Ovis aries: one gene and its partner. The main gene of each other region encodes a partner of the protein of the gene in region 2 in a complex. Links are inferred from orthologs where the notes say so. Each region holds a gene or a part of one and is shown on either strand. Other genes may lie near its edges. The genes, in order: GDF2 and ACVR2B.

Evidence for each region.
Region 1: the proteins of ACVR2B (region 2) and GDF2 are in contact, whole or in part, in a crystal structure (PDB 4FAO), measured with the Homo sapiens proteins. The link is inferred for Ovis aries from reciprocal best matches to the Homo sapiens genes ACVR2B and GDF2. Residues at the interface, in NP_001097.2 of Homo sapiens: Asn35, Glu39, Cys49, Glu50, Glu52, Lys55, Leu57, Tyr60, Ser62, Arg64, Val73, Lys74, Cys77, Trp78, Leu79, Asp81, Phe82, Asn83, Glu94, Gln98, Val99, Phe101; in NP_057288.1 of Homo sapiens: Arg333, Ile346, Ala347, Pro348, Lys349, Glu350, Tyr351, Glu352, Lys397, Ser399, Pro400, Ile401, Ser402, Val403, Leu404, Lys406, Gly410, Val411, Pro412, Thr413, Leu414, Tyr416, His417.

Annotation. Positions count from the first base shown.
Region 1 is NC_056078.1:41,261,772-41,265,680, reverse strand, and holds the start of GDF2 (growth/differentiation factor 2), read left to right. Parts: upstream 1-1,046; 5' UTR 1,047-1,198; coding exon 1,199-1,544; intron 1,545-3,909. UniProt on the Homo sapiens protein: Potent circulating inhibitor of angiogenesis. Signals through the type I activin receptor ACVRL1 but not other Alks. Signaling through SMAD1 in endothelial cells requires TGF-beta coreceptor endoglin/ENG.
Region 2 is NC_056072.1:11,874,016-11,877,824, reverse strand, and holds part of ACVR2B (activin receptor type-2B), read right to left. Parts: intron 3,706-3,809; coding exon 3,575-3,705; intron 2,270-3,574; coding exon 2,075-2,269; 3' UTR 1-2,074. UniProt on the Homo sapiens protein: Transmembrane serine/threonine kinase activin type-2 receptor forming an activin receptor complex with activin type-1 serine/threonine kinase receptors (ACVR1, ACVR1B or ACVR1c).

The DNA of each region.
Region 1 (3,909 bases), on a different chromosome or scaffold from region 2:
GCCTAGCAGGGCTCAACTGGGCCACAGTTTCTCAGCTTCTTCAGGCAGGGGAAACGTCTCCTGGACATGCCCTGGACTCAGTGCTTCCCTGCTCCATTGCCTCCCAGATTACATGGTTCTCCTGACTGACAAGTGTGGCCCAGGCAACCACCCGGATGAATCAAGACCTCACCATCACCCCCAGACCACTGACAGAGCTGTACTTGGGTTCCAGGGCCAGGAGGCCTTGCTGTGTAAGTGATGTTTCTAGAGAGCAGGCCAGGCAGGTGCAGGGCCTCTGGGGATTCCTCCCAAGCTCCCATTCAGTCAGACCCAGGGTAGAGAAGCTGTAGCCAGAAAGCAACCACCCAGCCGACTGGGACTTGCGGTGACTGCCATGCTGGTCAGCACTTATTAGCTGAAGTCCTCACTGCCCTCTTCTGAAGTGGAGGGCCAGAAAGGTGAAACAGCTTGCTCCAGGTCATGCATGCAAGAACAGCTAAGAGAGCTGGGATTTGAACCCACATCCGGTCTGACTCCAAAGTCTCTACCGCCTCACTAAACTGTATGTGCCACCTTTACCCACGACCTCTAAGACTCAGGACTGCACTTGACAAATGGGAAATCGAGGCACCGAGTACTTGAGCCACAGGTGCACATCCAGTTCCACAGGAACCAGGCTTCTCACCAACCCGCCATCCCCACCCCAGCGGCCAGCCCAGGGGCCTCTGGGAGTTTTGTGCTGCTGTTTCCATATTTGGAGGACTTTTGGGTCTTATTTCTTTCCTGGATTCTTTGCTTCGGTGGCCCAGGAGATGGAGCATATGTCACCCTGCCTCAAGATTCTTCTGAGAGCTGGCAAGGAAATGAGAGAGGATCCATCCTAATTAGGGGGCGATAACCCCAAGGAGAAACTCGGATTCTCTGCAGCAGTCCGTGTCCTTCCCATTAGCCCTGTGTGTTTCTCAGATGTTTATAGAGCCTTCATTAACAGAGAGCCCCCTTAGATAAGAGGCCTGAACAGCATCAAGGGCCAGATAAGAACAAGTGGAGGGCACTTCGGGGACAGCAGAAGGGTGAGAGCCTGTGAACTGGCCCGGGTGCGCCGTACAGAGCTGTGGGCAGGACAATGCAGGCCGGCTCCTTCCGGGCTCCTCCCGGCACCCGCTAACACACCGCGGCCGCCGCAGTCTCCAGACCAGGGCGAGAGCCTCCCAAGATGGGCCGTGGGGCGCTCCGGATGGCTCTGCCTGTGCTCTCCCTGCTGGCCTGCTCCGCCCTAGGGAAGCCACTGGAGAACCGGGGGCGGCCGTCCACGGGGGGAGATGCCCACCGCCTGCTACGGGGGCCCGGCGGTGAGCAGGAGGGGGCCACCTTCGACCTGAGGATGTTCCTGGAGAACATGAAGGTGGATTTTCTGCGCAACCTCAACCTGAGTGGGGTCCCTTCTCAGGACAGAACCCGAGCCGAGCCACCACAGTACATGATCGATCTATACAACAGATACACCACCGACAAGACGTCCACCCCTGCGTCAAACATTGTGCGCAGCTTCAGCGTGGAAGGTAGAGTCGGCTCCGTGGGGCGCCCCGGGCGGGGGCGGGGGGACTCAGTGGTGGGTTCAAGGCCGCGCTGCCCGATATGGCGGCCACTTCAGACACGGGACTCTTCGTTTCAATTTAGGTTAATTTAAATGCAATAAAGTTAATAATTTAGTTAGTTTCAGTAGCTTGGGGGCAAGTGCTCAGCAATCATGCCTAGCTACCCTATAGGACATGGAGACTATAGAACAATTCCATCATTGCATAATGTTCTACTAGACATCTCTGCTCTAGAAAATTCTCCCTCTCTGGGCCCAGCACCACATTAACACAGTAGGTGCTGAAGGAATGCCTGCTCGCTTTCTTCCATCCCTTCCCTTCCCCTCCCTTCCCATCCTGTCTCCTTCCTACTTAGACACAGACAACTTACTTAGCCTCTGACTAACAGGCGTCTTTTTAAACACTGAAAGACTGCATTTCTCACTCATCAAAAGGTGTTTAAAATTCAGATAAATTCCTCTGAGAAACACTGGAAGACAAGGTAATTATTTTCTAAGTATAAAATAATTTCCCTGATTTAGTAGGACTAGAAGATAACGAATGTCGACTTAGGGCTTATGTCCTCTAATTCACGCCACGTAGGTGACATGATCTTGTGAGCAGTGAGCCAAGGCTTGCAGACCCTGAGGGAACTTTCCCGGTTCACATATTAGTTAAGCAGCTGGATTCTGACCCAGTCCCATCTGTTTGCACAGCTCAGGCTTTTTTCCGCAGTTGCAGCTTCTAACCAACCAGGCACACAGGACTTCTTCCCTCCTGAGCTTGAGGCCTGCAGACTCCTAGCCATATGCCCTAGCTCAAAGATGCTGTGGTCATGCTGCGTGCCTGGCAAAGCTGTATTTCCCAATGGCCCCTGTGCTGTGCTTAGCTGCTCACTCATGTCTGACTCTTTGTGACCCCATGGACTATAGCCTGCCAGACTCCTCTGTCCATGGGCTTTCTCCAGGCAAGAATACTAGAGTGGGTTCCCATGCCCTCCTCCTGAGGATCTTCCCAACCCAAGGATCAAACCCAGGACTCCTGCACTGCAGGCGAATTCTTTATCATCTGAGCCACCAGGAAGGCCCCTGATGGCCCCAAAAGAAAATGAAAGTCTAGATTTAATGTGGACCTGTCCTGTTTCTAAAAGATGGGTTTAATTTGTTTTAATGCAGTCTGCAGGTAATATAGATACTGGCAGCATCACACTACGCCCATGGGACATGTCTGTAACCCCTGCTTTAGGGAAAGGCTGAGCTTCTTTGGCTGGCCCTAATCACCAAATCCTGTAGTCTGGGAGTCCAGTGTTGGGAGCCATCTCCCAACAGCAGTGGGGTGACCCCGCCCTGCTCCCCTCCCCCCAGCATTGTCTGTGTCCCAGAAGCAGGTGTTCTGATCTGATCCCAGCTCTGCCTGTGGCCAGTGCTGCTGTGGAGGCAGTGATCATTATCACGAACAGCCTGAGTGGCTCGGGCAGAGAGAGCACTTGCTCTCTAGTTAGCTGAAGCGGCCCCTTGGCAATTTTCAAGGCGTGCCACAGAGCACAGCCAGCAGTGAATGCACTGCTCGTGGATCCCGCTCACTACTCGCGTATGACACGGCGGGTTTAACACACGGTACGGGAACGAGAACAGCTCGTCCAGGCTGGGGGAGGGCGCACAGAGAGCTGCGTGAAAGGCCATGTGCTGGGGGCGGTGGAGCAGGCGCAGTTTCTGGGGCAGACATAGAAGTACCTGATTGAGCACCTGCTGCGAACCAGGGACAGCGTTGGGGAGGCTTCATGAGCCTTCTTGTCAAAGCTTCACACCAGCCCTGGGGAGGTGGTAGGATGGAGCCCCATTCTACAGATGAGGAAACTAAGGCCCAGAGAGACTCAGGACTTCTCCCAGCTCATAAGCCTAGAAGAGAGAGAGTAAGGATTGGAATTTTAGACTGTTAGATGCTGCCAGGTTTCATGACAGCACATTCCCTACTCATGTTGGCACATAGGAGATGCTCAGGAAACACAACTTGTCTTCCCTCCTGTGACCAGGCCATGGTATAACAGGATGTGCTAATGGCTGGGAGTCAGCCAGGGAAGTGGGAAGAGAGACAGTTGTGTGGCTAGAAGGCAAGCTCCATATATGTCTAACATGGCCAAGCCATCGAGGTTAATCTATTTTTTCCTCACACATTGAAAAAAAATAAACACCACTTTCATTCTGCTCATAAGTTACCATTCTGAATGATTTCCTACGTGATTTAGGTGATATTTTTAACACTGTAGTAATAAAATTTCACCATCCCCTCCTAGGATCGCTCCTTTACTATTGTATGCTCAGGATTTGCACTCTGAGGCTGATAGTGTGCT
Region 2 (3,809 bases):
GCCCGGCCGGGCCATCACAGGCGGCCCGGGCAGCGCGGCTCCAGAGACCTGCTGGGCACTTCCCCTCGCGCCCCCGCTGACTTGCTGAAGAAATTAAGTCTCAAGTAAAATTACCTCATGGGGGTCTAAAGGCCACAGATTTCCCAGGTTAAAGTGGGGTCGCCTGTCATTCTGAACAATGACCTCCCAAGTCGAGGGAAACAGCGGAACCTCCAAAAAACTCAGGAGGAGGCGCCCACCCCTCACCCTAGTCAACCTCTCCCCGTCGCCCACCAACTCGCCTACCCTCAAGGTGAAGAGATCCAGTTTTCAAATAAAAGGGTCTAAAGCAATGGGAAGGAAATGCCTTCACAAATAAGAGTGACGAATGCCCAGACTCAGCCCCGACAGCCAACCCACAGTGGATGACAATTATTTACAAGGGGACGTTATCAACGAAAAACGGGAGCACTCCCTAAGAAGACTCACAACTTTTTTTCTTTTTCTCTATTTCTTTTAAACTTTCTTGTCATAAAAGCCAACTTACATTAAAATATACTTACTACGAGACAACACAACTAATAAAATATATAATAAACCTTACACAAGTAGAAAATTCTGAGGTATTTCTGGTTTGAGGTGGTCTGTGGTCGTGAAGTTTTAATTCTTTTACTTTTCAAAATTTAAACCTCGGAAGCCACATAGCAAAGCATTTGCGTGGATGTGTGTGTTTTTAAGAAAAAAAAAAAAAAATTTGCATGTTTCATAAATTAAAAAAAAAAAGTCAAAGGTTGAAACAGCAGCATTAGGAACATTCACTGACGAGAGCAAGGTTATGGCAAAACAGAGAAACGGTTTTTTTCGAATATGCACCTCTTGTGAGGGGGTCTGGAGAAAGCTGTGTCCACGAGCTACATAAAGGGACAGTAACGTCACCACACAGGGCAGACAGAGCCAGCGCTGCAGGACTCTGGGGCTCTCCAGAGAGACAGGCCTTGGCCAGGCCGGACCCAGGAAATCCTCTCGCCCCGGCTACGCAGGGCGCCCCCACGTGGCCATTTCCCTGAACTGCTCCAGGAGGAAACGCTCAACTTTTCCTCCCTTACAGATATTTACAGTATAACGTCTCATCAAGACTGTACTCACTAAACCGTGATGATTTCTACCCTTGCCGAACCTTAAAATCAGGGTAGAAAAAAATGTTGTGTCTTATGCCCAAGCCCAAGTGAGTGAAAAGAAAAACTGGACAGGGCACACAGATGGGCCAGAGCCACACCTGATTTCAGACTTTCTCCAAACCCCGCTCTTGCTGTTCATGCTCGGCCTCCACGCGATCCTTCCCCTCGATTCCGGGTTACCTGAGAAGTAGTCTCATAGCAAAGGATGTTGCTCCGAGTGTGCCCGAGTCCAGTGTAGCTCTGCTCCAGAACCCACCCCCAGCTCCGTCCTCCCCTCCAGTCCAAACCATCCTCAGCCTCAGCCCAGTTTTTCCTCGGTCAGGACAACACCCGTTCATCCGTGAAAAGACACGCCTGCTGTTTCTTAAACTCACTGTCTAAAAAGGGATAAAAACACAGTAAAAGGTGAGGCGGGAGGGGGACGAGGGCAGAGGGAAACTCCTCGTGTGAGGAAGGTGTGTTCTTATGTAACAGTCTTCAAAGGTTCCTCTAGGTAGAGTTTGCAGCATTAAGTTTCCTAAGACAGGATGGGTTTCTTTGTGTCACAGGTTCTGAGACAACAAACAAAGAGAAAGCGGGGGAAAATGGACCCCGAGGGGCAGGAGGTGGCCGAGGCTCTTCAGCATGGCGCTGGTTCCTCATTCACAGCTCAGCACCGCAACGCCTGCTGACGTGTCCGCTGTTTGCGATACAGTAGAGCAATGTGCTGGTAAAAACTGATCCAATCCAAAAAAATAATATTAATAATAATAATTATAATAATTATAATAATAATAAAAAGTCAAGGTAAAATAGCAGCTGCATTTTATGTGTTTGTTGGTATTATGGGATTTCCAAAACAAAACACAACTTTTTTTTGTTTTCTTTCCTTTCCTCTTCAGATCTACTGAGTCTGGAGAGCCACTCGTGTCCTGGGCTTAGATGCTCGACTCCTTCGGGGGCAGGTCCACGTTGGTGACGGAGGTCACCAGGGAGACGAGACAGTCCGAGGTAGTGCCGTTGACCGACCTCCGAATCAGGGACACTCGCTCCTCCACGCAGCCCGCGGACAGGCGAGCCTCCGCGTCGTGGTCCCAGCACTCCTCGATTGTCACGCAGAGCTGGGCCAGGCCCTGCACGCCAGCGGGAGAGAGGAAACGCATGCCTCTGCTGGTGGCCCTCAGTGAGGACAAGCAAACCAGCCATGTTCCCGAGGACTGAGCCCACAGGCCCGTCCACAGGGCTCTGGGGGACGCTCCCCTGCCAGCAGTCAGGGTCCTGAGCCCACCGGCCTCCTCCACAGCCCCCAGGGAAGGGCCACTGAACCTCAATACTCAACAAGGGAATCCAGGGCCCACAGGGCCGCCTGCCTTGGACTGGTGACATTGCCACAAGATCTTGGGCAAAGTCCAAATCACACAGGGGCCCAATGTGCAGTTACAGTGGAGACAGAGGGGGACTTCATCCCACCTTTTTCCCCACGGCCCCCAGAACCTCCCCAGAGTCCAGGAAATAGGGCCTGACACCTTGTGCTAGAACCAACTGCGTGAAGCTGGGAAAGGCCGCAAGATGAGCAAAGTGCCCACCCGTACCCAGAACGGTCCAGCCTGCTTGGCACTAGGCCACACTCAGCTCCCTCTGGGCCTGTTCCACGTCAGGGAACTGGACTGGCGACCGCAGCGTCTCTGCCCTGAGAGACTGAACGTCTAAGGCAGAAGCAAGGCCCAGCTTCCCTCTCCCGGTGCCTATATTTTCTCCATCTGCAGTCTTGGGTTTCAGGGAGCAGGCAGCATGGCAGCAGAACCTGACCTCCACAGCTCAACCCCTGACAATGTGGGAAGAGCGCCAGCCCCCAGTGATATCCTTCGGAATTAACCCTAGGGTGCCAGGGGGAAGGGAGTCAATAGAGCTCAAGGCAAATATCCTTCCAAGAAATGTTAACGGTTTCCACAGCTGGGGTCTTTTGTACATATCCGCAGACTGGAGGGGCCCAGATGCCACGTAGCTCAGCCCAGGCCCAAAAAGTTGATGAGGGCAGGGAAAAGTGATTACTTCATCCGAGCTAAGCCGTATTAAACACTTAAGTAATAGGTGTCCTGCCCAGTGAGGTACAGCAACTCCTTAAATCTAATACTACCCTGAGGAGACAAGAGCTCAGAGAAATAAAGCAATCTGCCAGATGTCACCCAGCTACCGACGGACAGATCCAGGATTTCAGGTCCCATCACTCTCTGGGGTCAAAACCAGAGCCGCTGCCTTGGAGTGCACTAACCTGCACAGACGCTCCCCGGGTGGAAGGGAGGCAACGCACCCGGGGGAGGTGGGGCTGGGCCTGCGGCCTGAGCCCTCCCCTCTGGCCCTGCCGTGGGTGAAGCTCCCCTGCTGGCCGTCAGCACCCCACGCCCACAGCCGCCGCCGCAGCCCCCGCCGACCCTCACCGGGTGTTTCAGCCAGTGATCCTTGATGGCCGGCCGCATCTTCTTATGCACCACAACCTCCTGCAGCTCCTCCAGTGACGGGTGCTGGCCGATCTCCTCCTCAAAAGGCAGCATGTACTCATCCACAGGTCCTGGAGAGAGTGAGTCCCAAGGCGGGGGTGGGGGGGGAGGTAACCCGACTGCCCGACTTCTCCCCCACCACGCCCAGGATGCTCGGGGCTCCCGCCCTGCTCAC